Tribolium castaneum: one gene and its partners. The protein of the gene in region 2 interacts with the protein of the main gene of each other region in a pairwise test. Links are inferred from orthologs where the notes say so. Each region holds a gene or a part of one and is shown on either strand. Other genes may lie near its edges.

What was found.
Region 1: the proteins of CASK (region 2) and ATP synthase subunit s, mitochondrial interact in a two-hybrid assay, tested with the Caenorhabditis elegans proteins (3 studies listed by BioGRID). The link is inferred for Tribolium castaneum from reciprocal best matches to the Caenorhabditis elegans genes lin-2 and C05C8.1.
Region 3: the proteins of CASK (region 2) and epidermal growth factor receptor kinase substrate 8-like protein 2 interact in a two-hybrid assay, tested with the Caenorhabditis elegans proteins (4 studies listed by BioGRID). The link is inferred for Tribolium castaneum from reciprocal best matches to the Caenorhabditis elegans genes lin-2 and eps-8.
Region 4: the proteins of CASK (region 2) and veli interact in a two-hybrid assay, tested with the Caenorhabditis elegans proteins (5 studies listed by BioGRID). The link is inferred for Tribolium castaneum from reciprocal best matches to the Caenorhabditis elegans genes lin-2 and lin-7.

The regions. Positions count from the first base shown.
Region 1 is NC_087396.1:20,954,765-20,962,195, reverse strand, and holds ATP synthase subunit s, mitochondrial, read left to right. Parts: upstream 1-3,549; coding exon 3,550-4,116; 3' UTR 4,117-4,120; downstream 4,121-7,431. Other genes in the region: superkiller complex protein 3, read right to left, coding at 1-467, 515-675, 827-1,003, 1,049-1,330, 1,376-1,954, 2,000-2,189, 2,236-2,468, 2,860-2,943; HSPC300 (probable protein BRICK1-B), read left to right, coding at 3,224-3,344, 3,390-3,472, 3,522-3,548; Not11 (CCR4-NOT transcription complex subunit 11), read right to left, coding at 4,121-4,579, 4,626-4,835, 4,948-5,250, 5,310-5,435, 5,484-5,629, 5,673-5,764, 5,811-5,848; MAU2 chromatid cohesion factor homolog, read left to right, coding at 6,252-6,476, 6,526-6,705, 6,755-6,877, 6,926-7,054, 7,101-7,431.
Region 2 is NC_087400.1:7,072,221-7,080,647, forward strand, and holds part of CASK (peripheral plasma membrane protein CASK), read right to left. Parts: intron 5,460-8,427; coding exon 5,409-5,459; intron 5,200-5,408; coding exon 5,080-5,199; intron 5,033-5,079; coding exon 4,910-5,032; intron 4,858-4,909; coding exon 4,750-4,857; intron 4,696-4,749; coding exon 4,520-4,695; intron 147-4,519; coding exon 1-146. UniProt on the Caenorhabditis elegans protein: May play a structural role in the induction of the vulva. May be required for the localization of signal transduction molecules (such as let-23 receptor) to either the basal membrane domain or the cell junctions.
Region 3 is NC_087403.1:4,530,051-4,539,080, forward strand, and holds epidermal growth factor receptor kinase substrate 8-like protein 2, read left to right. Parts: upstream 1-1,303; 5' UTR 1,304-1,466; intron 1,467-1,497; exon of another isoform or gene 1,498-1,987; intron 1,988-2,040; 5' UTR 2,041-2,067; coding exon 2,068-2,316; intron 2,317-2,364; coding exon 2,365-2,511; intron 2,512-2,804; exon of another isoform or gene 2,805-3,046; coding exon 3,047-3,735; intron 3,736-4,224; coding exon 4,225-4,654; intron 4,655-4,710; coding exon 4,711-4,869; intron 4,870-4,916; coding exon 4,917-5,025; intron 5,026-6,157; coding exon 6,158-6,567; intron 6,568-6,618; coding exon 6,619-6,693; 3' UTR 6,694-6,822; downstream 6,823-9,030.
Region 4 is NC_087394.1:2,337,105-2,345,024, forward strand, and holds veli (protein lin-7 homolog C), read right to left. Parts: upstream 4,583-7,920; 5' UTR 4,462-4,582; coding exon 4,425-4,461; intron 4,375-4,424; coding exon 3,974-4,374; intron 3,927-3,973; coding exon 3,771-3,926; 3' UTR 3,440-3,770; downstream 1-3,439. Other genes in the region: angiopoietin-4, read left to right, coding at 781-872; ADP,ATP carrier protein 1, read right to left, coding at 5,268-5,510, 6,000-6,234, 6,287-6,548.

The DNA of each region.
Region 1 (7,431 bases), on a different chromosome or scaffold from region 2:
CCGTATCACCCACAACGTCCCTCCCTTCAACGAACTTTTTCGCAATCAAAAGACACGAATGTTTTTCAGGTAAATTGGCCACGAACAAACACCCGTTCCCTAACAATTTCCACAAACACGAGAGGTCGCCACGTTGGCTCAGAGCCCGAATCAAGTGATCGGTGGCCACCTGAGCATGGTCCCGACTCGTCCCCAGTCTCTGATCCTTGTAACAATGCCTCGCTTGAAGCAGACAAGTCTCAGCCATGCCTTTCAAAGCCGGGACGTAAAACTTGTTAAATTTTAAAATTTCCTCAAACTCGAGCCGCGCTTCGGCAAATTCGCCCAAAATCTGCTTAATGTGCCCTTTTTGTAACATCGGATACCACGCTTCCGACACCAAACTCGACGTTTTCTCGTAACATTTCAAAGCGGAAGTGTAGGCACCTTTGGCCAAGTAGGCGTCAGCCAGGGATTCCCAGCAGTGACTAAAATTGAATTTTTCGAGTTTGTTAACACAAGTGTGGAAAAATACGCATTGTTTTCGTCAATTCGTATGACGAATCGCAAGTTCGTAACGGCTTTATCGTAATCTAATTGTTCCAAGTGGTGTAGCCCTAGCTGCATCCAAGCCCAGGAATTTTTAGCGTTAATTATTCCACTTGTGAGGGCTTGTAACAAGTTCAAGTTGGCGTCCTTAAAAAAATGAAATCTATGTAAGTAAGAATGTTTAATAGGGCGTTGCTACGGTAACGATTACTCCAATTGTTCAAATTTATGTTGTTACCTAGCAGCTAAGTGTCAAAGATAACGCTTTAGCTCTAGCGTCGTCTCATTTGTTACATACCCAATTTTTTAACTTGCGGTAGATTTTGCTTAGTTCGATCCCGGCCTCCGCACATCGCTTATTAATTTTGAAAGCTTTCTCGTAACATCGTCTAGCTTTATCAAAGTCGTTGTTTCTCTTGTAGAAATGGCCCAAAAACAGGAAACACTTGTAGTTATTTGGGTCCAATTTGGTGGCCTGAAAATTACGATTATGTCCCGTTTATTAAACGTTGGGTGAAACCTTCAAAAATGGGATCAGACTTTTGTCAAAGTGGCCACAATCCCAATAAAGCGAACCGATTTCGAGCCACCATTCACAAGACTCGCAATTTTCCCTTTCTAGAATTTCCAGAGCTTCGGAAAATTTTTCCTGCTTGTGGAGCAACTGGGCTTTGAGCAAAATGTGTGTTTTATCAGTAGAATTGAATTCTTGGAGTAACGATTTAGCTTCGGTGAATTTTTTTAGATTGATGTTTGCACGAATCAAGTGTTGATTGCACGCAGATTTCACCTCAGTTTCAATCTAGAAATTGCAATTGAAAAAAAGTAGTACTAATAATAGACAAACATTTTCAAATAATTGTAACGCTTTGCGAAGGTCGGCCTCCTCCTCCGACCGGGACAAAACCTCAACCATCAAAACATTAACACTTTTCTTCAAAATCTTCTTATTTTGTAACAGTTTCTCGAGTTTGTTTGCCGCATTTATGGCTTCGTCGTACAACAGGAGTTGCATACAACATTTTAGCAAAAGTACCCACGCGTGTACCAACCCGGGTAAAACCCCCACAACTTGCTCTAAAACATCTTTCGCTTCGATAATTTTTTTCTGTTCAACTAGTAAAATGCTTTGGGTGAATAGACCCGTAGCTGAAGGTGCCTCCAATTTAGAGAGACTTTCGCTGTAATTGGCCATGTTTTCGACCGATTCGATCAAAGTGCCGGACTCGACGTAAACCTCATTGAAAATCTTACAAATCCAACGCAAAGAAATCCAGTCTGATTCAAACATTTCGTGCATTTTTTTCGCCTGTTGTAATAATTCACCCGCTTTGTCTTGCTTATACAACAGGTTTAAATAATCGCTGAAATATTTCGTACATACGGTTTTTTGGTTGTTTAAGGCGAGTTTTAACGTTTCTTCGTACTAAAAAATTGGTTTAATTTGCAAAATTACGATTTAAAATCATACAATTGGGACCAAATCCGGTGCGAGATTTTCAATTTTTGATAAAATATTAATCAAACAAACTGCACATTCCGCACTGTCACACTTGCCCTCTTTCAGGACTGAAAAAATCGCTGTTACGATTTTAGCCAAGTCGCCGAATTCGCACAAATTTGCCAGTTTTTGGACACATTCGAGGATTTTTTTCTCGCCTCTGAAAAGGCTAATTATCTCATGCCAAATAATTTAAAATCAATTACGTTTCAATGCCAATTAGCGAAATGTAAGCATTAATTAAATCAAGTTTAGTTTCTTTAGTGTCGATTTTTTCGTAATAATTTATAAGACCGTTCCAAGCCAAGGGATTTGAAGGGTTTGCTTCGATTGCCTCCTGGAAAGCTTTCAAAGCTTTGGCGTTTTGACCGGTTTCCTGTAATGAGACTCCCAGGAAGACAAGGGCCATGTAATTGTTCTTTTCTTCTTTCAGTATTTGCTGCAAAAATACAATCGCACACACTAACAAACATAATTAAAGATAACGCTTATGCAACTAATTGCTACAAAGGTGCAGTCCAAAGAAAAAAAAGAAAAAAACAATGAATCAAACAATGATTGGATTCATCAGAAAATAGTGAACACATAAAAGTATTTTAAATTGCCAATGCTTTTATTAATTTTATTAAGTTAATTTCTACAAAAAAAAAACGGATAACTCCGACTATTTAGCAACAAAATTTCGAAATGATCGCAAATGATTATTTCAATTGGTAACAGATTTCAAAGTTTTTTTAGAAATTTGTAACCGGATAATTTTTAATTTTTAGTGTAAATTATGACAGTTTTACCAACCCCTACACCTTATAAATAATAAAAATTTCACCTACCTTGCATAGTTTCAAGGCAGTTTCATAATTCTTGTTTTTGATGGCATCTCGTGCCTCCTTCAACACTAATTTTGAGTCTTTCATGATTCACTCAAAACAATAACTTGTTTGGAAAAGCCTAACCTACAAATGCACTTTTTGCCACTTATTAGCTAGACTCGAAAATAACCAAAAGCGTACAAAACGAATCATTTGCACTTAGTATTTAATTAAAAAAAATATTTGTTTAATTAAATTACGAAAATAGCGAGCTTGTTTGAAACTTTTTCGAGGTTAGAGCATAGAATAAGAGAGAGGGTTAGAGTGTCAAGCAAAAACTGAAACTCCCTAAAAAGTAACCAACAATTTCGGTATTTTTGCGGAAATGGCTGCTCCTAGAGGAGAGACAGTCCCCAAGCCCATCCAACAAGACTGGGTAAACCGCGAATACATCGAAGTGATAACCGTCAGCATAAAAAAGATCACCGATTTCCTCAATTCTTTCGGTAAGTTTCCCCTTACTGTTGACACCTCGCAAAAATTATTTTTAGACTTATCTTGTCGATCAAAACTCGCCGTTTTAAACGAAAAGTTGACAACTCTCGAGCGAAAGATCGACTATTTGGAAGCTTGTGTAAGTCTCATTTACATAACACTGCGCTTTATTTACAAATAAACTGAAGGTCACCAAAGGGGAAACCTTGACATAAGATGCTCCTCACTCGCCTCAGCCACCTCCAAAGGCCGCTCATCCCCCACACGCGCACCCTCTTCCACTGGCTGAACATCGTCTTCAACCGCGTGGACGACGAACGACGGAAACAAGTGGGGCCTGACAGGTCTTGTGCCGAGTGGCTGTTGCGGAACGGGGCCCACGTCAAGTGGGAGCACTGCAACGAGTTTCTCACAGACTATAACAAACTGCCGAGCGACAGGATTAGGTTACACATCGTGGAAGTGAACGCGTCTGAAGCCAGCATAATGCACTACGGGTTTGACCATTTCGTGGGGTGCGAACACATCCGGAAAATCATTTTCCACAAGTGCTACTATCTGGAGAATGAGGCGTTGAAAGGGCTGTCGGTTTTAAAAAACTCATTACTTTATTTACAAATCACCGAGTGTTTGAATATAACAGAGCCGGGGCTGAGTCACCTCAACGCGTTGAATAACTTAAAAGAGCTGATTCTGGCCGATCTGCCGTACGTCAAAGAGAGGGAAAAAATCGTCGATAAATTACAGCACGGCCTGCCACATTGTACGATACAGTTCCATTAAATAATCAACCCTCGAGCTTTGCTTTCATTATCGTTGGCGAGGAGACAAGTCCGATCTGTTCCCCCGACTCCAACTGTTTCAATAGCCTGAACAAAGCGGCAGCTTCGCGAATGCGACTAAACTCGATACAAAACGCCTGAACTTCGATAAACAACTCCTGGACGTTGATTATTTTGTTGCGAATGAGCGACTGGAGAAACACACAAACCAGTCGAACCAGCCGATTTTGCATATAACGGTCCTTGATAGTCTCACAAGTCGATATGCAATTCGAAATGTACAAGTGGACAAACTCTGTGGGCAAATCCACGGTCGTTGTGAGCCGATTTACCACTTCCATGGAATGCAGCGACATTTCCATGTTGACAAGAACGCTGAAATATTCCGTTATTTGTTTCGATTGCATAAGCTTGAGCAAAACTTCAATCGCGATAAGTGGATTATTTTCCACCAGTTCGGGCAACTGCAAGCACTCAAATCAGCGAAAATCACCAAATTTCGATTCATACTTTGGACGGAGTCAAACCAATGTGGTACACAAGTTTTGAGTCGTTTTCCAGCTCGCCTAGCAGTTGTTGCTGCTGTTGCAAAGACAGCGCTGATTTGTACGCCTTGTTCATCAATTGTCTCGCCTCCTGGCCTGCTGTGTCAGGCACACACATCGTCACGTCATATGCTACAGTGTGTTCTTTGATGTTTGTCGGATTTAGCCACACCATCTTAAAAAACACAATCAAGGGTAGTAATAAATTATCACAGCTTCCTTGATTAATGGAAATTTCCCTTCGTCTCCATAGCATTAAACAAAGAAGCTGTATTATGTAACCTTACTTCATCATCTGTGTTGAGCAAAGGCGGTGCTAGTGTCACAAATTCCGGTTTGTACACTTTATTAATGGGGGCGTTATCACCGGTTGCTATAGTTTTCACAAGGGCTGCATAATCGTTCCGTTCTGTCGTATAATTGTTAGTTTTTTCAGGCAGTGATAAAACTACAGGAATTCCTGTTTTGCAAGTGTGTGGCAATTCAGACTGTTTTTCGGCTAGTAGTAATTGTACAACGGAAAAATCGAAATTTGTTTGCGTATTCCCAACGTCTGAATTGATTATTTGCGTGGCTGTTTTTTTCAAAATCTTGAAGAAAAAAAATCGTTTAGTAATTTCCTATCAGGGGAGGCCCTGGATAATCTTACAGCATCTTTGGGCACATCTGATAACAGTTGCGTTAAGAATTGTTTTTCTGGTGGTGTCAGTTTGGGTAGTTGGCCTGGATATTCCTGTTTGGGGGACCCGACACTACTCTGGTGTTCCGGGGGGTGCTAGGATAATTTCTATGTTACAATTACTAAATTTCTGTGATTACAAACCAAAAGGTGGTTGAAAACGTTGGCAAAAGGGGTGTTTGCCAGAGCTTCGCCCCGATATAACTCATACAGAAGCGTTATAGCAACAAGTTTTTGCTCAGGCTCTTTCAACAGATCTTGCTGAAGCATCATTACCAGACAAGTTCCGACTGAAAAAAACAGTTATTTGGGTAATCAAATAGCGGTTTTTACCTTTAAAATAGTCACAAGAGTCGAATTTTTTGTGCAACTCGTTCGAAAGGCTTTCTAAAGTGTGGGTTCTCACCTTTGTCTCACCCAAAATACTACAAAAACTGAATTAAAAGGGCGCCAAAATTGAACTGGTCTTACTCGAGTAAGATATCACATTGTTCCACCGTGAGGGCCATCGTTTTGCAATAAAACACCTATTTTTACGAAATTTATTTTATATACTCTAACCTATAAACCCAATTCGGACATTGACATTTATCACCATAAGACCGAAAAATCTAGTCGGCCAAACACACCTAAACCCGTGTTTTTCGTCAAAAATAAAAAAATAAAAAGCAGGAAAAAAGTTTTTAATGCAATATTCAATAAACTAATCAACTGAAATAATCAATAAGTTGATTAATTAGAATAATCAATGAATGGGAGTTGGAGTTTTCGACCTTATGCGGACCCGACCGCCGCATTTTCGCCCATGTGTGGTGTTTGGCGTTTGGCTTGACAGTCGACCCAAAATATTTCAATTTTGCGCAAAAACCATGTTTGGGTGCGAATTTTGTGTAAAATAATCAATCCCTCGCGATGGCTTCGTCCCAAGACGCTTGGTACCTGTCCCTCCTGGGGCTAGCCGAGCATTTCCGCACCTCGAGCCCCCCTATGATCAAGCTCTGCATCCAGTGCCTCCAGGCTGTGTTTAATTTTAAACCACCGCCGCGGGTCGAAGCTCGCACTCATTTACAACTCGGAAACATACTTTTGACCCATACCAAGAACACGGACTTGGCGAAAAACCACTTGGAACAAGCGGTAAGTGCGCCCCTTGATTTAACACTCATTTGGACGTGATTGAATTCAGTGGTTGTTGTCACAAATGATCAACACCTTTGACGATGTTAAATTCGAAGCGGCGAGCGTTTTGGCCGAATTGTACGAACAACAGCAGCAAATTTCGCTGTCTAAGCCCATTTTGAGGAAAGCGATCGAGTTGTCGCAACATAATGTTTACTGGCATTGCAGGCTAATTTTCCAGCTTGCGGTAATTAATTATACAATTTGGCAGAACTATTTTAATTGTAAAATTATAGCAAATTCACGCAACTGAGAAAGACTACCAGTTGGCCAGTAGTCTGCTGGGTGTTGGGGTGGATTATGCCCACATCTCGAATGCTTGTTACACTCGAGTTTTGTTTCTTTTAAGTAAAGGAATGGTAAGACTTTAATTAAATCACAAAATTGGGCTAAAATTGTAATTTTAGTTATTATTGATTGACAAAAAGTTGCAAGAAGTCCAGCCAGTATTAAACCAAGCCGGTCACTTGATTGAAACTTGGACAGGCGCTGCGTACCAGAAGGAATACCTCCGAGTGTATTTTTTGGTGTTGCAAGTCCGTTACTCAATTTGATTGGTTTTGTGCTCAAAGCAATTTTCAGGTGTGCCATTGTCTAATGGCCGGTCAGGTAAAAAGCGTAAAACCTTGCCTGAAGCAGTTGCAACAAAGCATACAAACAATAATGGCAACGGATGATGTTTTTACAGGGCCAAGTGTTGGCGATATGTTCTTATGGATGCCCAAAGAGCATCTCTACGTTTTGGTTTATTTGGTAACTGTGATGCACAGTATGCAGGCCGGTTATATGGAAAAGGCCCAGAAATACACCGATAAGGCGTTAATGCAAATCGAGAAATTGAAAAGTTGGTTTTTGTACACTTATCTGACACGTCCAACAATTCTAACAGTTGTAGATAATAAGCCGATTTTGT
Region 2 (8,427 bases):
GTGGTCTGGACGCGCTCGATGGCCGCCTCCAAGGCCGCGATCGTCTCGTCGATATCATTGTTTACGATTGTTAAGTCGAAGTAGTGCCCGTAGGCCTGACGCAACATGTCAGATTCTTTGGCGAGTCGTTCTAAACTACCGTCGTACTGCCAAAAAACACAACAATAAACACCAATTTTAGATAAGTAATGAAGCCTTTGCTATTGACACGAGAATATGCAATTAGACTGCCATGAAAGACCTTTGCATTATTGTTAATGGGCTAATAACATGACAGGTGTAACAAGAATCCACCACATTATTACCTACAGTAAATAGCATCAAATGGCTTCATTACGCTATGTGTTCACATATCAATAATATTTACTCGTTTGTGCAACGGAACACAAATTTGAGGCGGATTTCGAAGGAAATATACCGGAGTAAAATAATCCGTTAAACACTTATAATTAAGTAAATTGGGGACAAAACTACATGTGAAAATGTTTTTTTTTATATAAAAACTTAAAATTTAAAATTTCGCCAAGGGCTAAAAAACAGGAAGTCGAAAAAAAGACTTTCCAGTGATTACAAAGCCAAGAGGGTAATGGTTAATAATTCTAGTGTTATTGGCAAAAAACTGAAAAATTCGAGAAATCGAAAAAATCAAAATAAAAAATGTTTAATTTCTTATTTTATCATTTACGACCATGGCCTCCTTGATGTATAGAGACAACTTCGTTCTTCATACATCAAGAAGGCCATGATTACGACAAAGATATTCCAAAAATAAAATTGATTTGATTGAACTTATATTGGTGTACTTCTTGTTGGATTTTCTTGGCGTGGAAACTAAAACTAAACATTGTTTATTTCTTATATTGGTGCTCAAAAAATTTACAAAATTGATAATAGCTTTCAAGTTATCAACACTTATTAGCTGTTTTAAAACTAGAAAAATGCCAACGTCGCATTTTCTCTCAAAATTAGCTGTTCTAAATTCTTTAGCCGCTTCAAAAAAATAATAGCTAATGTAATTTATACTTCCAATGAGAGATCAAGTGTTTAATTACAATTAAAAAAAAATATAAAGAAAAATAAAATTATTCTGTAAAATGGACCGTTGGCGTTTTATAGTTTTGAAACAGCTAATACCTAAGTTTAACCTGGTTTAGAGTTTGTTAGCAATTTTCTCGAAAACTATTAGTCGGGACTAATAGTTTTTTAAAGATAAATAATTAAAAAACCTTTTTAGTGAGAATATAATTAATGGAGTTACGTATGATAGTTTTGGAGTTATTGAAAAATCAAACCTTATAAAATGAAACCCATTGATGTTTTCTTGCACTTTAAGAACTCAAGAGAATTCCAAAGGCGTAGAAAAGTGGTTAAATAAACTTTGAGAAACACTGACTCTTTTGAGCTTAGAAGGTAAGTAAAATGAACACTATTTTCCATTTTGAAGTTAGATTTTCATTAAACCAACTACTTCCACAATAATATGTGCCACGAACGCATACTGTAATAAAATCACCAATATGTTTGATAACAATTTTCGGAATTTTGTTGAGGAATGTCGCTCGTCGTTGCAGTTATAATGTTTTGTGTTATTGATTAAATACGCACTTTTATAATTGGTGAAAACCGTAACAAACCATTATTAAATTTTAACCAAAAATTCCAATAACTGAAATAAAAAAACTCGTATAACACATGAAATGAACCGTAAAATTCGTTGAAAAAAACAGTTTTACTCTAATACTTTTAGTTCTCAAGTTATAATCTTTCTATTAAAAAACTAAAATTCAAAAAATTTCAAAATTTTTATTTTTCAATTACGGCAAAACCGTTCGAAAAAATAAAACAGTTTTGCAGTAAACCCATGTAAAATGATCCGGAGAATCGACTGGCGTTGAGAAAATTGCAAAATTCGTAACAGTTTTTTAATTATGATTTTTTTATCACTTATCTTTGCTAATACGGGCACTTTACTCGAAAACTATCAGTCTTCTGTCTGGAGCGATTTTGAGATAATTTTAGGCGCATTCTGATGCTTTCATGGTTTTTACTCAAAGTCTTACAGCTTCCAAAAATTCGCTAAAAGAAACTGGTTTACTCTAATACTTTTATTTCTCAAGTTATAATCTTTCTATTAAAAAACTAAAATTTAAAAAATTTCCATTTTTTTTTTCAATTACGACAAAACCGCTCGAAAAAAGTAAACAGTTTTGCAGTAAGCCCATGTAAAATGATCCGGAGAATCGACTGGCGTTGAGAAAATTGCAAAATTCGTAACAGTTTTTTAATTATGATTTTTTTATCACTTATTTTTGCTAATACGGGCACTTTACTCGAAAACTATCAGTCTTCTGTCCGGAGCGATTTTAAGATAATTTTAGGCGCATTCTGATGCTTTCATGGTTTTTACTCAAAGTCTTACAGCTTCCAAAAATTCGCTAAAAGAAACTGGTTTACTCTAATACTTTTATTTCTCAAGTTATAATCTTTCTATTAAAAAACTAAAATTCAAAAAATTTCCAATTTTTTTTTCAATTACGGCAAAATCGCTGGAAAAAAGAAAACAGTTTTGCAGTAAACCTATGTAAAATGATCCGGACAATCGACTGGCGTTGAGAAAATTGCAAAATTCGTAACAGTTTTTTAATTATGATTTTTTATCACTTATTTTTGCTAATACGGGCACTTTACTCGAAAACTATCAGTCTTCTGTCCGGAGCGATTTTAAGATAATTTTAGGCGCATTCTGATGCTTTCATGGTTTTTACTCAAAGTCTTACAGCTTCCAAAAATTCGCTAAAAGAAACTGGTTTACTCTAATACTTTTATTTCTCAAGTTATAATCTATCTATTAAAAAACTAAAATTCAAAAAATTTCCAATTTTTTTTTTAATTACGGCAAAACCACTGGAAAAAAGAAAACAGTTTTGCAGTAAACCTATGTAAAATGATCCGGAGAATCGACTGGCGTTGAGAAAATTGCAAAATTCGTAACAGTTTTTTGTTTATGATGTTTTTATCACTTATTTTTGCTAATACGGGCACTTTACTCGAAAACTATCAGTCTTCTGTCTGGAGCGATTTTGAGATAATTTTAGGCGCATTCTGATGCTTTCATGGTTTTTACTCAAAGTCTTACAGCTTCCAAAAATTCGCTAAAAGAAACTGGTTTACTCTAATACTTTTATTTCTCAAGTTATAATCTATCTATTAAAAAACTAAAATTCAAAAAATTTCCAATTTTTTTTTTAATTACGGCAAAACCACTGGAAAAAAGAAAACAGTTTTGCAGTAAACCTATGTAAAATGATCCGGAGAATCGACTGGCGTTGAGAAAATTGCAAAATTCGTAACAGTTTTTTAATTATGATTTTTTTATCAATTATTTTTGGTAATACGGGCACTTTACTCGAAAACTATCAGTCTTCTGTCCGGAGCGATTTTAAGATAATTTTAGGCGCATTTTGATGCTTTCATGGTTTTTACTCAAAGTCTTACAGCTTCCAAAAATTCGCTAAAAGAAACGGGTTTACTCAAATACTTTTATTTCTCAAGTTATAATCTTTCTATTAAAAAACTAAAATTCAAAAAATTTCCATTTTTTTTTAATTACGACAAAACCGCTCGAAAAATGTAAACAGTTTTGCAGTAAACCCATGTAAAATGATCCGGAGAATCGATTGGCGGTGAGAAAATTGCAAAATTTGTAACAGTTTTTTAATTATAATTTTTTTATCACTTATTTTTGCTAATATGGGCACTTTACTCGAAAACTATCAGTCTTCGGCCCGGAGCGATTTTAAGATAATTTTAAACGCATTCTGATGCTTTCATGGTTTTTGCTCAAAATCTTACTGCTTCCAAAAAAAACGCCAATAACAGAAACAAAAATTACCATTTTTCAAGCGCCGATTACGGCAAAACTAAAAGAACTAGGAGAAAACGCCACATCCCACCGTAAAGAGCACACCAAAAACTATCAAACAAAAAAAATGGGTTACAATCAAGTTTGATACTCATTTTTGTATTTTTTTTATTAATTTTTAATTTTTTTATTTTCGCAATTATTGCAAAACTAGCCGGAAAAAAGAAACAATTTTGATGTAAAACTATGTAAAATGGTCCGGCGAGTCGACTGGCGTCGAGCAAATTGCAAAATTGCTCAATAGATTTTTAATTATATATTTTTTATTTTACCTATTTTCACTTTTGCTGAAAATTTGAAAAAGACAGAAAATCAGAAAAACTTTCCGAAGCTTCGGAGTTATTGCCCGATGAAAAATCTCGTCAAAAATCGGAAAAGTGCATAAAATTCTCTTAGATAGAGTTAAAAAACTTGAATTTCTGGAGTCCTTAAAAAACGAAACAATTTAAAATCGGACTCGTTGGGGTTCTAGATTCGTTTAAATGCACAAAGCGAACGTTAGTCGCATTGTTAGTAATTTATTCTGGTATTGTTCCTTCAAAATCCTTGTTTCTAATCTAGTTAAGAGTGTCCTAAAAACACCACAGTGACGCTTACATCTGCAATGTTTTGCAAAGCCGGAGCAGCAATGAACACAACATATGGTGAGAACTCAGCAGTACGCAACACTTTGAGTGCTTGAGGTTCAACATCAAGAATGGCCATTTTACCTTCTTGATGTATTTTACGGATTGTATCTAACTTAGTTCCGTACATGGCATCTTCGTGCGTGCCTACAACGTGCAAAATGACAACAAAACGAACTTTGATGTAAACAACCCAACTACCATATTCTAAATACTCATTAGCGGCTATATCGGCCATCATTTCGTCGTGCGACACGAAGAAATAATTGCGGCCGTTTTCCTCGTCGGCTCTAGGTTGCCTCGTTGTATCTGAAATAATCCCACTTGAGCTAAATGAAAAATGAGCAGATGGGAGGCTTACGTGGTATAGGATAAGCATACTGATCGGGATGTTTAGCTATTAGAGTATTTTTAATATGCCGTCTACCGACCCCGTGAGCCCCCAGGAGGACTAAGGTCTTTCGCTGGAAAGCTGGATCAGTCACTTCAAACAGAGATTAGCCAAAGTCTCACATTTCAAAAAGCACTTACTTGGCAATTTCACAACTTCCTCATAAGTTACTAAATCTAATTGGTCAAAAACAGCATTGTGCTTTGCCAAATATTTATCCTTGTACTGTTTCTTCTTGCGACCGAATATTGAGCAATTGACTGGAAAAACCACAAGTTAGTACGAGCACACCACAGCCAAAACTATACCCTAGGGGTCTCTCTATACCATGCATTTCTTCTATTTATACTTTGAAAGTTATTTATTGATTTTCCCAGCAGATCACAAACAATCAGTCTACTAGGGAAAACACTTATTATGAAATGCTTAAGTATCATGCTTTAGGCTACTTAATGTGGGCATCATATACCTGTAGTACCATCACAACCGTTAGCATGAGAAGTACATCCTTTTTCCACGTCTAGCATTCAACAAAAATACAGGTCACACCAAAATACGGGTTTATCATTGGTTTTATTGTTTTTGTCTGTTTAGTGTGAAGGAAGTTATCGGCGGAAGTGAACAGACCTGAGTTTCGCAAGATAAAAAACGGCCGAAAGTTAAAAGCAGTATTTTGCAAACTCAAAATTGAGGAAAATGGGCATTTTAGTATAACAAAAAATGGTGAACCAAAATATTCCTCCCTATGGCCTTGAAAATTTTTTTTCTTTTCTCAACCACATATTTAATTTATTGAGTTTTCCACTAGACTAAAAATGACACCACATAATATTCTTTGAAGTCTTAAAGATTTTTTTCTTTTTTAAAAATATTTCCACAAGTGACTTTTTGAATTTTTCTTCAAAATATCTCTACACGTGAAACTTATTTTTTTGAGTGTATTTTCATAGAGAAATTATTTTATCAAAAAAATAAAGCAGATCTAATAGACTTCCAATTGTAAAAAAAATCGTAAATAAATACTCAACTTTGAAGGCTAAAAAAATTTTTTTTGCTCTTAAAATTTTTCTACACGTGGAACTTAAATGTTTCATAACAGTCTTCGCGTAAAATAATTTATTTATATTTTTACAAAAATCGAAGCTTATTTAAGGAGCTTCAAAAAAATACCAAGATGGTAAACCAAAATACTATAGCCTTAAAGAATTTTTTTTTAATATCTTCACAAACAGAACTTAATTAATCATTAAAGCCTTAACTATTTTTTTCAAACTGAAACTTAGTTTTTTCAAAAAATTCCTTCCACAGCAGATTTTTTAATTTTTACAAGACTTTAAAACTTAGTCAATAGACCACTCATTTTAATAAAATGGTAAACTAAGAAACACTTCTTAAAGCCATAAGAAATTTTTTTTCAAAATCTCTCAACACATAAAACAAATTTTTTTTGAGTGTATTTCCATAGAGAAATTATTTTTTCAAAAAAATAAAGCTGATCTAATAGATTTTCAATTGTAAAAAAAATCGTAAATAGATACTCAACTTTGAAGCCTAAAGAAATTTTTTTCTGCCCTAAATATTTAAAATATTTCAGCACGTGGAATTTAAATGTTTCATAATTGTCTTGGCGTAAAATAATTTATTTTTATTTTTACAAAAATCGAAGCTTATTTAAAGAGCTTTAAAGAAACAGCAAAATGGTGAACCAAAATACTCCTCCCTATGGCCTTAAAATTTTTTTTTCTTTTCTCAACTACTATCAGTCTTCCTGCACAAACATATTTAATTTATTGAGTTTTCCAATGGACTAAAAATGACGCCACAAAATATTTTTTGGAATCTCAAAGACTTTTTTCTTTTATAAATATATTTCCACAAGTGGATCTTTTTTCAAGTGCAGAGATTGTTTGTTTGTGATAATTAAAGTTTTCCTTAGTAAAACAAGAGGGAATGAAAAAATTCCTTACAGCCCTAAAAATTTTTTTCTTCTATTAAAAATTTCCACAAATAAAACTTAATTTTTTCAAAGGTCTCACCCGGTACGGATTTTTTAAATCGAAACTTATTCAATGAGCTTTCAAAAGTGAGAAAATGGTAAAACCCGAAAAATGATCATTAGAACTTTAAAGATTTTTTCCAAAATATCTCCCTAACTAAAATCTATTTATTTATTTTAATACCTCTACAAGTAAAACCTAATTTTTCATGCAGAAAACTTTTTTATTTCGCAGAATTAAAACTTATTTAATAGGTGTCCTACTGTAAAAAATTGTTAACACAGAAAAATACTTATTCTTGAAGACTTTTAAAGAATTTTTTTTATATCTTTACAAATAAAACTTAATTTTTTCAAATGTCTTCCTGTAAGAGCAATTATTAATTTTCTGAAAATCTGAAGTTTTATTTAACGAGTTTTCTACTAAATAAAAAGTGGTGAACAGAAAAATACTAAAAAAATATTTTTTCCCCCAAAATATTTCAACAATAAAATTTTAACTTTTTTAATTTATATTTTTCTATAAATTGAGAATCATATTAGCGGAAATAATTAATTAATCATTAAGGCCTTAACAATTTTTTTTTAAACTGAAACTTTTCTGAGCTTTAAACTGTAAAAAATGCTAAACCAAGATTTTTTTCTTTATTTCACAAAATATGTCGCAGTGCCAAAAAATTTACAGAAGTCATATTCTGAAAATTTAATTGTTTCAACCGTCTTTCAGTAATTTTTTTTCCTTTTTCAAGAATCGAAATTTATTTAATGGGCTAGTTACTGTTAAAAAATGATAAACTGATGAATTCTTAAGACCAGAATTTTTTCTTTACGATTATACCTATCTCAAAATATGTTCTCTAAAACCAAGGTTAGTGAAAGCGCTTTTCATTGTAAAAAGTAAAACTTAACGAATTTTTTTGTTTTTACAAAATATTACTTTTATCAAGTTAAAAGGTTTTTTTATTTTATTGACTAATTGAATAACTATTTAATTAGTCGGTTTGATACACGAAATCAAAGATCAATATTTTTCATTTAATTTTAACCCATGATTTTACACAGACCTATAAAGGGAAAAACAACATTCGAACTTTTGCAACTCGTACTAGAAAATTAATAACTTGCTAAATTCCGGCTCCGCTTTTTCCAAAAATTCAGATAATTTGTCCCAAGTCTGTTCACAACTGCACTTCTAAGGGTTCCATGCTTCATGTTTAATAATGTATGCTTATTCTAAGTCGGTACGTTCAATATCGCCTCGATCCGTGTACAACAAAGTTACTTCATTACTGAACATTTAAGTATTCCATTGAAATCTCTCTACAAAGCAATCGCAATCTTCACTCGTTCAAATTGTTTTCCGAGTGAAGTAAATTTGCACAAATCGAATACGAACTGCACCGACATTCGTTAGAAAACCGAATTAAACACAACCATGCAACAGTAAAGGGGGCACCAGCCATGAAGTTTTATGAACTGCTGGAAAAAAACT
Region 3 (9,030 bases), on a different chromosome or scaffold from region 2:
ACTGGAAATGCAACACATTTTCCTGACTCAAAGGCAAACAACCCTAATTTGATCCAGAACCTGGTATTATTAGGGAACAACGGGAGACAAGGGCAGATTACAAATAAAAAATTGGCTCAAGTTTGATTTTGCCGAAAATAAAAATGCGCAAGAATTTTTCGGAATACTTCTGATTTTGAACCAATCAAAATTGGACGAATTTTTGCAATCTTTAAAGGTGTTTCTCCCCGTTTCGGTTCGGAGGAACACTCCCGGAATGAGGAAATTCCGCGAGTCGGTTGTTTATTTAATTTAAATGGATACGGAGGGGAGGTTGCGTTTTATAAGAATTTCCTGAAACACGAGCGTTGAGATTTTCCGGTATTTAAAACCGAGAAAACCTGTTTTTCGCGAAGTGAAACGTAGATGGAATGCGATTTTCCACAACCGTCTAAAATGTATTGGGACCAGTATAATTAAGCCAAAGAATGCGGTTTTATGCTCTCTTTATTCGTCACCTATGTGTGTTACAGCCATCACGTAAGTATACATTTTACTGACAACAAAACAGAAAAATTCTAATCAGAATGATTAAAAAAAATTTGCCGCTTCAGTTAAACAAACATAACATTGAAATATCAAAACAACACACTGAAAAAACTATTAAATAAGCATCCAATCAATGGCTGATATGATTTTCATAAAAAATGAGGTAACATCGTTTGTATTTTTTTTTTCAATATATTATTATTACATAGGTACCTCCTACCTGTTTCTTTTCAAATCACAGAGAAAATAACAATATTTGATCATGAATTTAAAAAATTGTAACAAAGATTTACAGAGCAATTTTACTGAACTTGGGATTCTATTGTGTGGGGTGGTTTTTAAGGCAATAATACAACCGAAAGGTGTAAAAAAATTAATTTTATTGTGACTAAATTAGTTGCAAAACACTTGTTAAAGTCAAACTCACAAAAAATTAATCATTTAATTATTACATCACAGGTCGCTGTTATCTTATATTTTTAAGCTTATTCAAAAACAATCAGCAATTAATATTTAACAAATTTTGTAATTGCATTAATTGTAGGGTAGGTAACTAGTAATACTTCGGTTTCTTCTGCTTCTTCCCCTTTCTTCAATTTCCTCTGATGTTTGAATTTTCCAAATGATAGCTCTTAAGAGAGCCCAAAGGTATTTCGAAAAAAGGTTGGGGCTAGTTTTTGGTCAGAAAAAAATATGCAAAATTTTTTTTTCTGTGTTATGTTAGGTTAGTTTTGTGACAGTTTCCAGCGCTTCTCCAATCTACAGGTAGGTTCTTGTACGCATGTGCAAAGTCATTTAGCTTACCTGACAGGTAAGATACGAGTAGCCCACCTGTAAATATAAAACATTTTAATTTCGTTGTGATTAGTGTGAAATGTGCTAATCAATTATTTTTAGTAATGAGTGATAGTGTTGCGACTTGTTGATTCGTATTTACGGTGAGTATGTGGCGGGTAAAGGGCTGATTTAAAAGTCCGTGAGGTAAAAATTTAATAATACTGTTATTGTTACTGTATTCATGCTATTGTGATATGGTCGCCACGATGGCTTTTGCGCCAAACTATTCACACACATATGTGTATTTCACAAGCTTCGTTAATAAATCGAATTTGCCTCATTTAACCCATTATTACTCTCTGCGTCATCACAAGTTGATGAAATCAAGTTTCGGGTTATTACAACTGTTGCGAATTAAAATATTCCCGCGCACTCCACGCCCTTCGTGTCCAAATTTAGTTCGCAACAGCTAGCCCATTAATATTCACAATAAATACATGCAGTTTTGTCCGTAAAAGTACGTCCTGAGGAATTGTTGACATTCCTTGCATTCCAGTATGGCTGAAGGTGTGGCATAAGAGAGGAAATTAATCTCAGTCGAGAATTATTATTAGGGCCCGAATTCCTTCAAAATGACAAATATTTATAAAAACCGCACGATACAATGAGATTAAATCCCGCAGTAGATAAATGTTATCATCAATCAAGCCGTGACAATAATCTCCGCGTTTCCAGATATTGAGTGGCTTAAGTTAAGTTAATATGGCGTACCGCTCGAACGGGTATTCGGGGGATGAAATGGACAGGTACCGGGATGAAGGGGGCGACAAGCCCACCTATCTCATGGAGCACCTGGCCACCTTCACAGTCACCAAAGAAACGGGGATCATGTACCCCGCCGACGGCATGCGGAGGCTGCTCCAGTTGGAAAAAACCAACGGCATTTGGTCGCAAAAAATGCAACTGTGCCTCGACCGCTCCTGGGTCTTAATCATGGATTACGAAACTGGGGTAAATAATCATCTCACGTAAACTCCAACTCTACACAAAAACGTTTAGAGTGTCATGGAGCGCTTCCCGGCCAACTCCATCCAAGAACCGACTGCTTTCACCAGCCATGATCCCATGGAAATGTACAACAATATTCTAGTTTTTAACGTTGCCAATTCTAACCCGGCTCATCCACCAGAAATGCACATTTTTCAGGTGAGCATATCTATCTGGCTCATCTTATCGGGCCCCCCGGCCAACACACTCATTTATTTTCGTCATTTATCTTATCAATCTATGGATTTTTAACAATTATTACTGTTTCCAAAAAACACAAGATAATCAATCAGATGTTACGGCAGCGAAATTAATTTGCGTGGTCGCGATAATCTCTAAATCAGATGAGATTATGGGGCGAATAAAATGAACGAACAAGGAGCATTTGATCGGACATACGGGATAATTGTAATGATTGTAAATACATAACGAGTTTTTTGTATAAGACTTACTTGCGAAATTATTAAATATAGAAAATTCAGTCAGTCAGCAGTACCAATAAAACGCTGGTAGTACAAAACTCTCTACTTTTTTTTAAATTAATGTTTTTTATGAAGGAAATGAAGGCAAGTTTATTGTCTTCGTGTCCCAAACTCGCATAATAATACACAATTTTGATAAGGTATTTCGTCGCACTCCAGCTCGTGGTGCTCTAAAAAATGATGTATTTATTTGTTTTTACGTGGATGTCTAGTGCCAGAGCATATCCGCGCTCGACCTGGTGGAAGACTTGAAGCAGTTGCGAATGGGCAAAACCCTGACTCGAAGCCGCAAAAGCAGCATCCCGCCGCCGTCCCACAAGCCGCCCCCGCACAACGTTATCAACCCGAGCCGCGACCCGCGAGGCGATTACCACGGTTCCGATTCGGAACTGACCGCAAATAACGACGACTCGAGTTCGACAACTAGCGAAAAATACGAACGAGACGTGACCATTTTGAACCATTGCTTCGACGATATCGAAAAGTTTATCGCCCGCTTGCAGCATGCCGCCGCCGCCGCCCGGGAGTTGGAGCGTCGGCGGAGGAGCCGCAAAAGCAAGAAACGCGACATGGGGGACGGCATGTTGACCATGCGGACGAAACCGCCCCCGGAGAAGGAGTTCATCGACATTTTCCAAAAGTTCAAGTTGTCGTTCAATCTCTTGGCCAAGCTCAAGGCGCACATTCACGATCCCAATGCTCCAGAGCTGGTGCATTTCTTGTTCACGCCTTTGGCGTTGATTGTCGAAGCCTCGCATGATACCTATCCCGATTCACAACTTCCCAGAAAAGTTGTCTCCCCGCTGCTGACCAGGGAGGCGGTCAATTTATTGATGAACTGTGTCACCAGCAAGGAGACCGAGCTGTGGCACTCGCTAGGAAACGCCTGGCTTATACCCAGGTAAGGCTATTTTTGACGAAATTGACAAACAATTGGTCAAAATTTCGCGATAAAAATAACTCGCCTATCTATTGTTGAAAGAAGCCGAAATTATTTACAAAGATATTGCCAGAATATCTATTTGAAAAAAAATTTGGACGAAAACTTATTTTAGATATGAATATTTCAATTTTTCAGTAAGAAAGAAACTAGAATGTTTAGCCGAAACCGGCAGAGAATCTTTGGTTGAGATGTCAATTCTTTTGGAACCAACATTTTTCAAGTTATCTTGTTGAAACCTAGCAAAATAACTTATTCTATTCAGCCAGTTACGGCCTAATTTGTACGTTAAAAACAGTTTAAAAAACCGTAAAATTCAAGGCTGGCAACAAGATTTGAATTTCCCGAGCTGCTGTTGCCAGTCAGCTAAATTCGCTAAGAAAATCTCACGCCCCTGAGTAAATTGGGAAAGAGAATCCGTCCGGTGTTAGATTTCCCTTTGTCTTGCAGAGATCAATGGAAGGGTCACGTGGCGCCTTACCACCCGATTTTTATGGACGGTTGGTCCCCTGATTACCCGGTTGTGGACGAATTAGAGGCAAATAATGATAAGCATTACAATGAGGGGCAGTACAGTAGCGACTGTAATGATTACGATACAAACCATCGCGACATTTTTATTTATGAGAAAAGTACAGATTCCCACCACCCAAAAATCGACTCGGATCATTTGCCCCCGAATTTGGGCGAAAGCACCAGAAGCGACATTTCGGTCGATTCGATCGAACGAAACGGCGGCGAAGAGCGCGGTTTTGGGAGAAGTCAGGAGAGTTTCTTGGAGGATTTGCAAGCCAGAGGGGCTAACATTGTCCAAGTCACGTACCCCCGAACCGCCAACAACGACAAGGAATTGACCGTGGTCCGTGGAGAGTACTTGGAGGTACCCTCACTCCTTATCCGCCCTTCTTATGTTTATTTTTTTATTGTATTGTACAGATTTTGGACGATAGTCGCAAGTGGTGGAAAGCTAGGAACAGTCGGGGCCAAATCGCGCACGTGCCCCACACTATTGTAACGCCGTTCCATTCCGGCGGAAATGATATTTTTAACAATCCGTTATACACCACGCGTAATAATTACAACAGGAATCGGGCGGTAAGTTCTAGTTTGATTTTTGTGTTTTTTGGTAATGATCTGGTTAGGACTCGCCGTCTGATAGATTTAGCGGGGGCCACAGCCCTAATACCCCCGACCATGTCAACCCCCCCGTTCCAGCGACTTCCGCTGATTGGGTTAGGAAAGAGAGGCTCGGTAAGAAAGGAGAATTTCGTTATTTCTAAGCAGTGTCGTCGCCGCATCTTCGTCTGCTTCTTGTATAATATTTGTTGTTTTTTGTACATTGTTATTGTTAGGCGTTGGCTTCTATTTTCATTCAAAGTACAGGCTATAACCTCATTTAACTTATTATTAAAATCTATGTATTGTATTACTTTAATGTTTGAAGGGTAGCAAAATCCGTCCAAAATGTAAGTAAGAGTGTATATATTTTTGTATTTTTGATACGGTCATTTGTACTAACTCAGTACCTATCTTATTGCATTTATGAAAAATAAATAAATTTTCTACTACACTGTCCGTGTTTGCTTTTGTGTTGTGTGGACGTTGTGTTGTGTGAAAAATACATGACCGGTTTGTGCGATTATCGTCTAGTTTGAATTTTATCCAAGGTCAGAACGGCAATTTTTGATTACGCCGCTATGAATAATTAACAAAGACCACAAAATTGCAAAAAGTGATAATAACCGCGTAATTATCCAAAACCGGATACTCCGAGTTAGTGTGACTCATCTACGATCTTCACTCCGATTGTTACGTAATAAATTTAAGGGTACATCAAAGTATTAATCAAGCCGGTCGTTGCGTTATGTTTGGCGAAAATGATTAAAACCTATAAAATTATTACGTGACAATCGATGGAATTGATGTTCGGGTTTAGGGGCTGAGCAGTTTCCTCCGAAAGTTTGTAATAGGCTTTAAGCCGAATGCAAACACGCCGAGTGATAATAATTACACCATGGGAAAATTCTTGGTGCAAGACGTCTGAATAATAAATAGAGACAAACCGACCGACTACGCACTATCATCGATCTGTTTGAGGAAATTTCTTAATTGACTTTGCGGAATTATCAATTTGATAATTATGTTTACTTGTCCTGCTGCAACAGCGAGTTGAATAATTTACGGGTGTCAATCCTCGCCTCGTTCCATTTCGCTCCCGCTCTTACTTTATTGATCGATAGGTGTAATAAATCCGCTGTGGTCTTCCCGTTTTTACCTTGAGATCTATTTGGCACAAATCTAATCTAATCTTAAACATGCGTCAATTCGGAAGATTTCTCCCAAGGCTATCGCATAGCTCGCAAAAATAAAACTCGTCCTTTAGACACTAGCAATGCACCGCCGCCTCCGCCGCCCCCGCCCCCCGTTGTGTCAGCCCCCGTGACACCGGCCGCCACGTTAAGACGCTCACCGTCGACGAAGTCGGCCGCCACACAAGACGTATTGCAGGATGAGCTAAATATCGTGCTATCAATGGTCAGAGACAGGAAGCACAAAACGCACATCGAAATTAGACAAACACCGGAAGTCTACATTAATCAAAAATCCAATCCGGAGGAAGTGCAAAACTGGCTCAAAATCAAAGACTTCGATTCGCAAATTTGCGCCAAATTTAAGGGACTCGCCGGACACAACTTGTTCGACTTGCACAAGAGCCAACTGGAGAAAGTTTGCGGGGCTAAAGAAGGCGCCCGCTTGTACTCGCAATTAAACATCCAAAAAAGTGTCAGTGGGGTACGTTGACACGTTAGCAACCAGGCAAAAGTGTTTCCTTGAATTTTTCAGTACCAAACCGTGAGGAGCTCGGAACTGAAGGCAATCCTCGCTAAGGCCAGGGAAAAAATTGAAGCAGTTGATTAATATTTATTACACACAATTATCACTATCAGCGCTACCTATCAAAGGTTTTAACGAGCTTAGTGGAAAAAATTCACTTGATTATGTCATGTAAATATGAATAAAATACGGTAATAAATATCCCAAAGTGTTTGGTGTTGTTTCATTGAATTCGTTAAAAAATATCGACCAAACTTCGGGTGCCTACTAGCTGCGAGTTTGATTTACGATAACGTGCACACAGTTAGTCACTTATTGCTTGGAATAATCAAATTAATTATTTGCTCGAAATTTATCATAACGATGACTCGGTGGAGATTTTTCGAAACAGAGTTATTGACATCAGCATGACGTCACAAATAAAAATAACAATGACCTTTATAATGCAAAATGTTAACGCTTTGCTTATGTTTTATTCATGGTGACTGTACGATGCGTTTGTGAATAAAAACTAGATACAATTAAACTAATCCAGAAAAAATAAGAAACTTATTGATATTACTGGTTATTTTGAAGTGCAAGATAAAAACCGCAATATTGGTAAAATGATAAGAAACGTAATTTAAATGTAAATACAAATGAGAAGACAAACACCGAGATGGTAATTTTGAGTTATTTTCAGAAGTTGGAATTGTTTTGTTTGAAATTAAATAAGCACGTCATATGGGCTTAAGTTTATGACAGTTTGTCATAAAGTGATGCCATAGCCATACGTAAAATGAATATAGCTGTTATTACGTACGTGTAAGGAATTTCTGAAAGCGAATTATTTAATAAGCGGACCATTAAGATAGCTACTTAACAATCGTAAGTATGGTACAATAAAGCGATGGTGGATATACTATTGAGTATGTGTTTGCTTAGTGTTTAGATAAAATATATACGATATAATAAATGAATGAAATGAAGACAGTTTGTGATTTGTGAGTCGAGAGGAGTGAGCGGTGTTGCGACTGGTGTTTCTTTAGTAAGTAATGCTTTAAACGAAATGGGTAAGTTCAGGTCGCCGTGGATATGCAATCGATAATATAGCTTCTGCCACCGGCACCGCCGCCACCGCTGCCGCCGCCGCCGTGCCCTGCTAGCAGTGGATTTTTGGCAAAAGACGCGGCTCACATTTGCAGTTCTCGCTCAATTTTACGGTATCACCTACTGCGGAAAGCTTTGGGTTAGGTTGGGGATGGCTCCAGAAGTGAGCTTCGGAGGATGAGTGTAGGGTGACCGCGGCGTCGCGGTGGAGTTAAGTAGAGTAGTTTTGTGAAAAGTTGTAATCAAATCGGATGGATCTGCTGAGCGCAGCTGATAGAGGGCGTCGGCATGGCATCGTAGTGCGCGTGTTGTTTACTAGGGCGCCATCGCAGTTCCCATCGTGGCTCTGTCCACCTACCACAAGCATTGAACAGAGAGAGGCAGCGCCCCTAACGGCGAGTCGAGCGAGACCATTACGTTCGGGACTGTTAATGTCCACCGGCCAGAGCGGCTCGGAGTGGTGCGAGCGAGTTGAGTTTGAGTGTGTGTAGTGCCTGACTGCCTGGGTGCGTTTCTGGCGCCCAGATCCTGCTATCTATTATCGGGCGACAAATGTTAACTTGACCGTCACTACGGAACATCTAGACGGAGTGGACTGTGACAAGGGCTCGGGGCGACCGCTACCGCAGCCGGGACATATTGGACCAAGGCAGAAAGTAAGTCCTTCCGTCCTGTGGATATAGGTCACACGGCTCGGCTGACGGAGGACGGTGCTCCTGGTGGAGGTGGTGGTGGAGGTGGTGACAGTGGCGGTGGGATGGGCCGAAGAGCGTGTGCAACTCTTCGTCTTATCGCTCGCTACTTGAACTAGACTCATGTAGGGCTAGTGACGTCACAGGCAATTGCCCACCCGACACCAGTGTAAACTAGTAAAGGTGCCGACACTGCCCGACCTTTATCCTCTCCTAGGTCTAGGCTCTTGTCTTGCCTTTTTGTTGATTATTTGCCGACACCACCGCATACCTTATATTGTGAGTTGAGCGAAATCGATCGCCAGCGCCGACTGAGTGGCGGTAGTAGTATGAAGCGGTCTGTTGCATGACGTCATTTATCCATGAGATTCCTGACTAGCATGCATTATAAATAACCTCAATACCTCCTTTAATATCGAAAAGCTGAGAGCCAGCAAAGCCGCACACCGCCGGAGCGACCCGCTCGTATCTATATCCAGGTGTCATCACCAACTCATCATCTTCGCCACCGGTCGGTTACTTTCTCCAGATCCGCTCTATAAACTCACAAATTTCAAATAGGCCGGAATCGCGCATTTTCGGCCGCAGGTATCCATAAAATCTAAGTTTAGCTGCGCAGAGCTTCCTGCTCGTTCAATTA
Region 4 (7,920 bases), on a different chromosome or scaffold from region 2:
AAAACTGCGTTTTTATTAAAAAATCAGTGTTTAAACACTCCATAAAGTGTAAAAGTAGCCCCGTTTTCAAAATAATTTGGTTAGTTTTTGAGTTTCTAATCGAAGAGTAAACTAAAACACTGAAAGAAATAGGGATTTTTTTACTTGGTTTAGTGAAATATCGGAAAAACTTAATTTTAAGCTGAAAAATGTACTTATACCCTTGAAAAAGGCATCACTGAAATTGTAGTAACTCCAAAAAAAAATCCATGGAAATTCCAGTAATTCCAAAATAATTTCAATAATTACAAATTAATTTTCGTAATTCCAAAATAATTCCTATAGCAATCTGGATAATTCTGAAAGAATTCCAATAATTTCAGAAAAAAATCCAGTAATTCACAAATGATTTATCCACAAGTGAAATTCCTGAAATTATCAAAAATGACACAAAAATTCCAACAATTCCGAAAATCTGTAGTAAAACCAGATGAGTTCCTTTAAATTCAACTTGAATTCCCGTAACTTTAACTTCGAAGAAAATCAATGTAATTTCCATTCCAAGTAATGCCAAGCAATGCCAAAAAGAATTCTAGTAATTCCAAAAGTATTTCCAGTAAGTACCTAATTCCAAAATACCTACTTCCGAAAAATTTCAAAAAAATTTCAAAATGTACAACTATTAATACCAGTAAACGACCCCTTTCTGGAAATACAGGGTGTTTCAAAAAATACTGGCAAACTTCGAAACTGCGAGAAAACCATTTTTATTTTATTGCTTTTGACTAAAAAAAATTGCAGGTATAGTCTGGTTCCGGTGGAGAGGCTGGGACTACACGCTGAAGAAGGCCATGATGATGATCAAACCGAAAGGACCAGTTACAACAACATAAAAAGTGGAAGAAAACTAGCCAATTTATAATCACCGGTCCATTTAATCATAAAATTCATCAATCATAAATCAATATTTATTTCGACACATCCGACACTTACCTATTTTAAATTACCTCATAGTATAGTATACTGAAAATGATTTTTCACAGAAATATTGCCTAGAACGGTTCTATCGACCAACGAATTTTCCCCAGTTGTATGTAAATATAAATGATAGAATTGTTCCTAATGTAGGTTAAGATTGTACATTTGCGCTCCCATCTTAGTTTTGTAAGGAGGTGTATTTGCATGTAGTTACACTAATACATACACAGAGACGCACACACATTTCCTGCACGATTTTTGCAAAAACTAACATTTACTAATAGCGAGGCAAAATGTGTTTAAAATTTCCGCTGATTATAAATTGGGAAAACACGAAAATGTTGAGGAAATTTAAGACTGTGTCGCTTATCGGAGGAAAGTTTCGTCGATAAGTTTGTATTAATGTAAGGTATTTTGTTGTGAGGCTAATGGGACATGAAATGCAATGTTCGTATTAGGCAGGTTAAAATCAAATCTTACCGTAGGTCTTGTACCTTAAGCGTTTTACATGGTTGTTGTAAATATTCTATTTCAGAGTTGTATAAATTAAATATATTTTAATATAATAAATTATGTTAAGTATTAACCAACCCGAGTTTCATTCCCCAGTTTAAATAATTATTCGATTCCTGGTACTCTCTGGAATACCGGGAATCTGTCCCTTTATACGCCGCCCGTGCACGTGTCATGAGATGTTTTAATTCGCCGATTTTTTCGGACTATTCTCGATTTCCAAGAAAATACATTTCAGTTGGTGTTTTCAAATCAAACGTAAAGGGTGTTTAGTCGAACTCAAGCAGTCGTAGAATAAAGTGTGTTCGATTAAAATATAAAATACGTGATGGATACTTGATACTGAACCACAGGAGAAAATACTTACGTGAGTTAGAAATTCTACTTAAAACTTTAACCAAAACTTGAAAAAATTAAATAGACGACGTGATATTACACTTATTTTACTTGATTTTTCAAAAATAAATAGGTTCTGCTCAAAGTAAAAATCGACTAAAATCTCGGTGAAACTGAAAGTGCATAAAATGTTCTTGGAACGAATTTCAAAAAATAATTTTGCTGATAAGTTAAAATTCTCCCCAGTAAATGGTTTTCGAGATAAAAGCGTTTAAAATTGCTGCTGGTGAGAATAAAAAATTAAACTGCCTGATAATTTATCCAAAAACTCGTAAAAATCAAATTTCGCTTGAACAAATCGTTTTGTTCTAGCCTAGGAGTTTTTTTTTGGAAAACTAAAAATGCCTCTGTAACCGAAGCCGTTGCCCGGGGCTGTCTTTTTTCTTCTTTTTATTTTGAAGCCCCCCTTTTGAGCCTTGGGACCATGCAAAAATTTCGTGGGGTGCAACTTTGGTTATCTCACGATTTTAAGTTTAAACCTTTGTTGAGATGCATTTTTTCTCATAAAACGCAACTGTGTCCATCGTTAATAGGCGAAATATTAAAATTATATTAATTTAAATTGTTTGGGCCTTATTTTTATTTTTTAAACTTGGTGACATTTATGCACGCTTGTTTATATGGTTGCATATGCAAGTTAAGGGTGAAAACTTTTTTACCACAAAAATCAACAAGTTGTTACTGGTTCTGCAAAATAGGGACCAAAGGATTAATAAAGAGCCTCATTTAGTCATTTATGACATGTTTCGAGGAAAAGGGTTACAAGCATTATTACACATTCAAGGGCTCAAATTTAATTGTCAAATTCACATTGGTGGTGAATTCGTTTAAAAAAGCTTGATTTCAAGGATTTTACAAAAGGAAAAACTGACCTTGTATTGGAGAAAAGGACGCAAAGCAGGAATAGGCAACAGGAAGCGGTGGAATCGGGTCGTTATTGAGTGTCTTTGCACTTTTGGGCACTAATTGTTCACATAATTGGTCTTAGAACTTTGAACTTTTAGTTTAACACAGTCACAAGTCTAGGAAAACACGAAATCAGACAAATTAAAAAAATAGACAAAAACGAAGCCACCCATGACTTTTGGCGGCTACTCAGTGTTTTTCCAGCGTTGCCAATCTAGTCGCACACAAAAATCCCTAAAGGAAAGCCGCGAATTGTGAATACAATTTTTTTTATTCGAATCACCACAACTAACCAGTGTTGTGTTTAATATTTTAAGTGTAAGTAACAGAAGTCTCAATACCACATTCACTTTCAACGAAAATCCCTGATCCGTAGTTGTGGGCTTTGTAAGGTTCGACTTAAAAGGCTCAAAACCTTTTATTTCAATTAATTGTTGATACTCAACGTTTATCTCACGTATTAGCTGTTTCAAAACTATAAAAACGCCACCGGCGCATTGTTTATGCACTTCAAAAAATTGATGTCTAATGTAATTTATAGTTTCAATGAGAAAGTTAATCCTTAATAATTTTTTTAAATTTTTTATCAACCTTATTTAAAAAATAATTCGGTAAAATACAACGTTGGGAGTTACTTAATAAATTTTATTAAAAAACAAAGAAACCATTTTGTTTTTTGTAATTATTTATTTAATACAACATAAATAACAAAAAAAATGGAAACATGTAATACTTGGATTACTTGTCAATACACGGGTACTTGAGATTCAGTACTTCTAGAGACCAGTGCACATCGTGCTAACTATACAATCATTCCTTAAATGCAACACAATCTAATAATAATAATATGTAATACCATATTTCGGTTAAATGTCTGGTCAAAGTAGCCTATGACTTTGAAATTTGGGTTTCTAACTTTGACTATCAAATTCAAACTACTAATAATTCAGTGTGGCCAACTTAATTTCTTTGTCATAGGCTACTCTGTCTAGTTATTTTTAATTGTACTGCTGCCGTCTTCTCGCCCTCTGTTTGTCGAACCTTAACTCCATCTCCTCCAAGACTTTGGGGGTGTACCTCACCACTAATTTGACAGAGCCATGGGCCTGTTTTAACAACTCCACTGCCTTTTCATGGTTTTCTCCTTCAACAGACTACCCCACAATTATTAATATTTACCCCTTTATCAAACCTCACTCACCACTCCATTGACACTCAATAACTGATCCCCTCGCTTCAGCCCCCCGTGCCGATCCGCCACACCCCCCGGAATAATCCTAGAAATATAAATGGGGGAATTCTGCTCCTTTCCCCCCATCACATTAAACCCTAAACCCTCCTCAGTCTTTGGCAGTTCCACGACTCTGGGGTGTGCATGTCCCTCACTGGCTGCGAAAGCTGCAACTGTGGCCTTAGCAGTGGCAGAGGCTCGCACGTCTTGAGACCCTTGAATATCAACAGTTTCGTAAACGTGCTCGTAGACCTCGCGCACTGCATTCAGAAAGTCGCTCTGGAGGACTTTCTGAAGGGCCGCGAGTTTAGTAGCCGGGACTTCGCCACTTTTCTGGAGCTTCTCCAAAAGCTCAACGGAACGCTTAATGTCTATGACAAACGTTGGAAAATTGCGTAAAATTAAGTAAAAATGTGATTACCTCGGTGGAGGGTCAATGGTTCGCCGATTTGGGCCATTTTTGCAAAATTGGGGCCAATCCTTTTGTTTGACAGGTAAATGACAGCTACGTTGGTACTAAACCAAAAACGTCAGATGTCCCTACATTTGTGCCTTCTGGCACTTGAAATTGATAAAACTTTTTATTGAAGGGATTCTTAAACTAAATCCAGAAAGAAGGATTTAGCAGGCAAATGAATAAGGCCGATTTAGCCAATTTATAAAAGCCACCCCTTTGAAATATTTTGGTTGGTATTAACTGTTACTCGCTTTGTTAGAGCAACAATAAAAGTCCCTAGATAATTTTAAATTTTGTAAAATGCTAACGGACGCTATTCATTTTAAATTTGCCTAAAAAAATGGGTCTGCGTGAGAAAAACTTGAGTGATTACGAGTGTCTTTATTGCCGAATTTACACAAATCAAGCTCATTTACAAGACAACTTTTTTACATTGTTTTGCGGTCAACGAAATGCATTCGACAACTGAATAAAACCACGTGACCTCAACTATATTAACAACTTTATTACGTCTCACACTACCAACAATAACGAAAAAAAACAATAATAAAGTAACTTATCACAACTGTTTATTGGTAAACGGCTGTTAAAATATACAGGATTTAAAATACAGGGCTATCAATACTTCAGCTTACAATGCCATTATTAAAACCGTGTAACGAAAAAAAATTGCTGGAATGTAAATTCCTGCGCCTGATAGTGTTAAAAAAAGGAATGTCGGCCTAAAAAATGCATCAACCACGGAATGAAACAAATAAATTATGAGACAATTAATAATTTAAACCGTAATAATTCTACTATTTCTGTTTAGAGCAAAGCTTTAAGCTCGTCGTATAGTACAAGAACCAAAGCTCCGCCAGTGCCACGGAGAACGTTAGAGAACGCTCCTTTGAAGAAGGCAGTTGGGCCTTCGGTTTTGCCGATCTTGATCCAGCAATCCAACGTATTCTTGTACATAATATCAGCTTTAGCGCGTCCAGACTGCATCATCATACGCCTTCTGACGGTGTCGAATGGATATGACGTAATTCCAGAAACTGTCGTTACGCACTGGCAAGAAAAACGTCATCAATACACACATCAAACAAATCACTAACAACTGATAGTCAATCAATGACATCAGTTAATGGGTAGTGGTAAACTAGAGTCATCAAAGTAGGCTCAGTTTTGTGTAACACATCATGTGTAATAACTTCAAGGACAAATTCATTCAATTCTTATAGGAACAGACGATCTAATCTTATCGCAATTGTTTATGGTGCAAAAAAACTGTTACAATATAGTTCTGAACTCTATTACACAAAGGTCAATTGTGATAAGAGTTATCTCGTCGCACGTCCACAATTGGAAGCAGATAAGAGAGGAATGTTACGACACTATTTCGTAACGAGGGATACCTTACTATTTCAGGATATAGGTCTTCGGATCAATTGCTTTCACTTTTTCAGCTTCAGCAACTGGAAATAACAACAAATCAAAGGTTAGGTGTGTGTCCTTTGCCCATCAATCAGTTCACCGGTTGGAGTCCAATATAATTACCTGTGCAATAAGGAATGAGATGAGGAACGGTGTGTTCTTGGGATCGGGCAACATTCCCTTGGCAGTATCGAAGAAGCCGAAGTAGGAGGCACGGTAGATGATGATACCTTGCACTGAGACAACGAAACCTCGGTACAAACCGATCGGTCCGTCCGATTTCACTGTCTTCTTAATGCAGTCCAGAAGGCCGGTGTACTGCCTTTCGCCCTTGCCTTTGCCGACATCGGCGCCCAAACTATCAAAAATGATTACATATAGCTGAGGAACTTAACAATTTAAAAACCTACCGAGTACGAGCGTAATCTAGAGGGTAGACGAAGCAAAGTGATGTCGCACCAGCGGCACCACCTGACGCCAAATTACCGGCGAAATACCTCCAAAATTGGGTGTTTTTGTCAACACCGCCCAAGAACATCTGTTTGTAGACATCCTTGAAGGCGAAGTTCAATGCCTGGGTTGGGAAATAACGGATCACGTTGGCGAGATTTCCACGCCAGAAACTGAAGAATCCCTGTTCTTTGGGGATACGGACCAGGCAATCGATGATCCCTACATGGAAAATTACGCGCTTAATGCATTATTCAAAGTGGGAAAAAACAAGGTCGGAGATTGCTGTGACTAACACTACTATTTGACCCAAACTAATCAACGACCTCTCAAACAATGAGTCCAAGAGATAAAATGCAATATGCGTTCAAAAAGGACTGTTTTACGTCAGATTGGTTAGTTAGCTAATCTAGAAATTGTAACTCAACAACAATTTACGTTATAGTCTCTAAAACTAAGCGAGATTGTAGAGTGGTTATAGACTGTTATTTTTTGGGGACGCCTTTTTTACAGTTCAGATTCTTTAGAAGTTAGAAAGGCGTCTATGAACTGGAAATATTTGCTAAATTTCCTTGAGAACAAGGAAATAGAGCCCGAAGAGATCGAATAGTTATATCTGGACGGTAACACAGTTAAGTCATCTTCTAGGGGATAAACTATTTCACAGCACAATACTGAAATCCCCAATTATAAAGTTACCACTGGAAATGAAGACTCGTGTGGTTATTGCGATTTTTGACTCATTTTTATGTAACAAGTGGGAGAAATGCCGTTCCCTGACAATAAAATGTTCCGAATTATTTCCAGAAGATTTATTTGATTTGTAAAGAAAGTGATAAAAATGAAATACCAATGAATTTTAACGAAATAAGTGTGAAAATCGTCGTTTTTGGCAAAAATAAACAGCCAAAAACACCCATAGTTCGATTATAAGTAAGAAATTGTCAAAAGTGGAGGTATTTCAACGAAAAACGTATTGTTTTTGTAGTATTAAAATATTGGGTATGTTATCATTCGACAGCGCTGATTCATAAATAAATTGGACTAGATAACAGAATACAATGTTGGAATCCTTCAAATTCAAGGTTATAAGCCGAAAAAATGAAGAGAACAAGAACAAAAACAACAAAGTTCTTTGCTACTAATGCATTGCAGACGAAAAAGAATTAAAATCAGCGGAAATGGACTAAAAATCTGCACTTTTAATGTCGAAACCAATATGGCTTTAAAAAGTGACAAGTCTAATTTATATAATAGTGTATTCAGATCTTTAAAATCTTTATAAACACAGGTAAAATGTGATCATTTAAATTTATAATTAGAATAGGCTTTGATACTTTTTTTAACTTACGTAAAAACACTGATTATCACAATTAGTATTGATTTTAGTATGAATTTTCCCCTCAATTTGGACAAGTTTTTCAATCATAAATAAACGCCTACTATAATTATAAATATAAATTCAAATGATCGCATGGTACAAGTTATATCCGATCGTTAATCTGATCTTTGAAAAAAAAAAAGTAGTTATCAAATTGTTTAAACAATAGAGCGTTTAAATAAAGCTAAGGAAATAAATACTTTTACTTGAAAT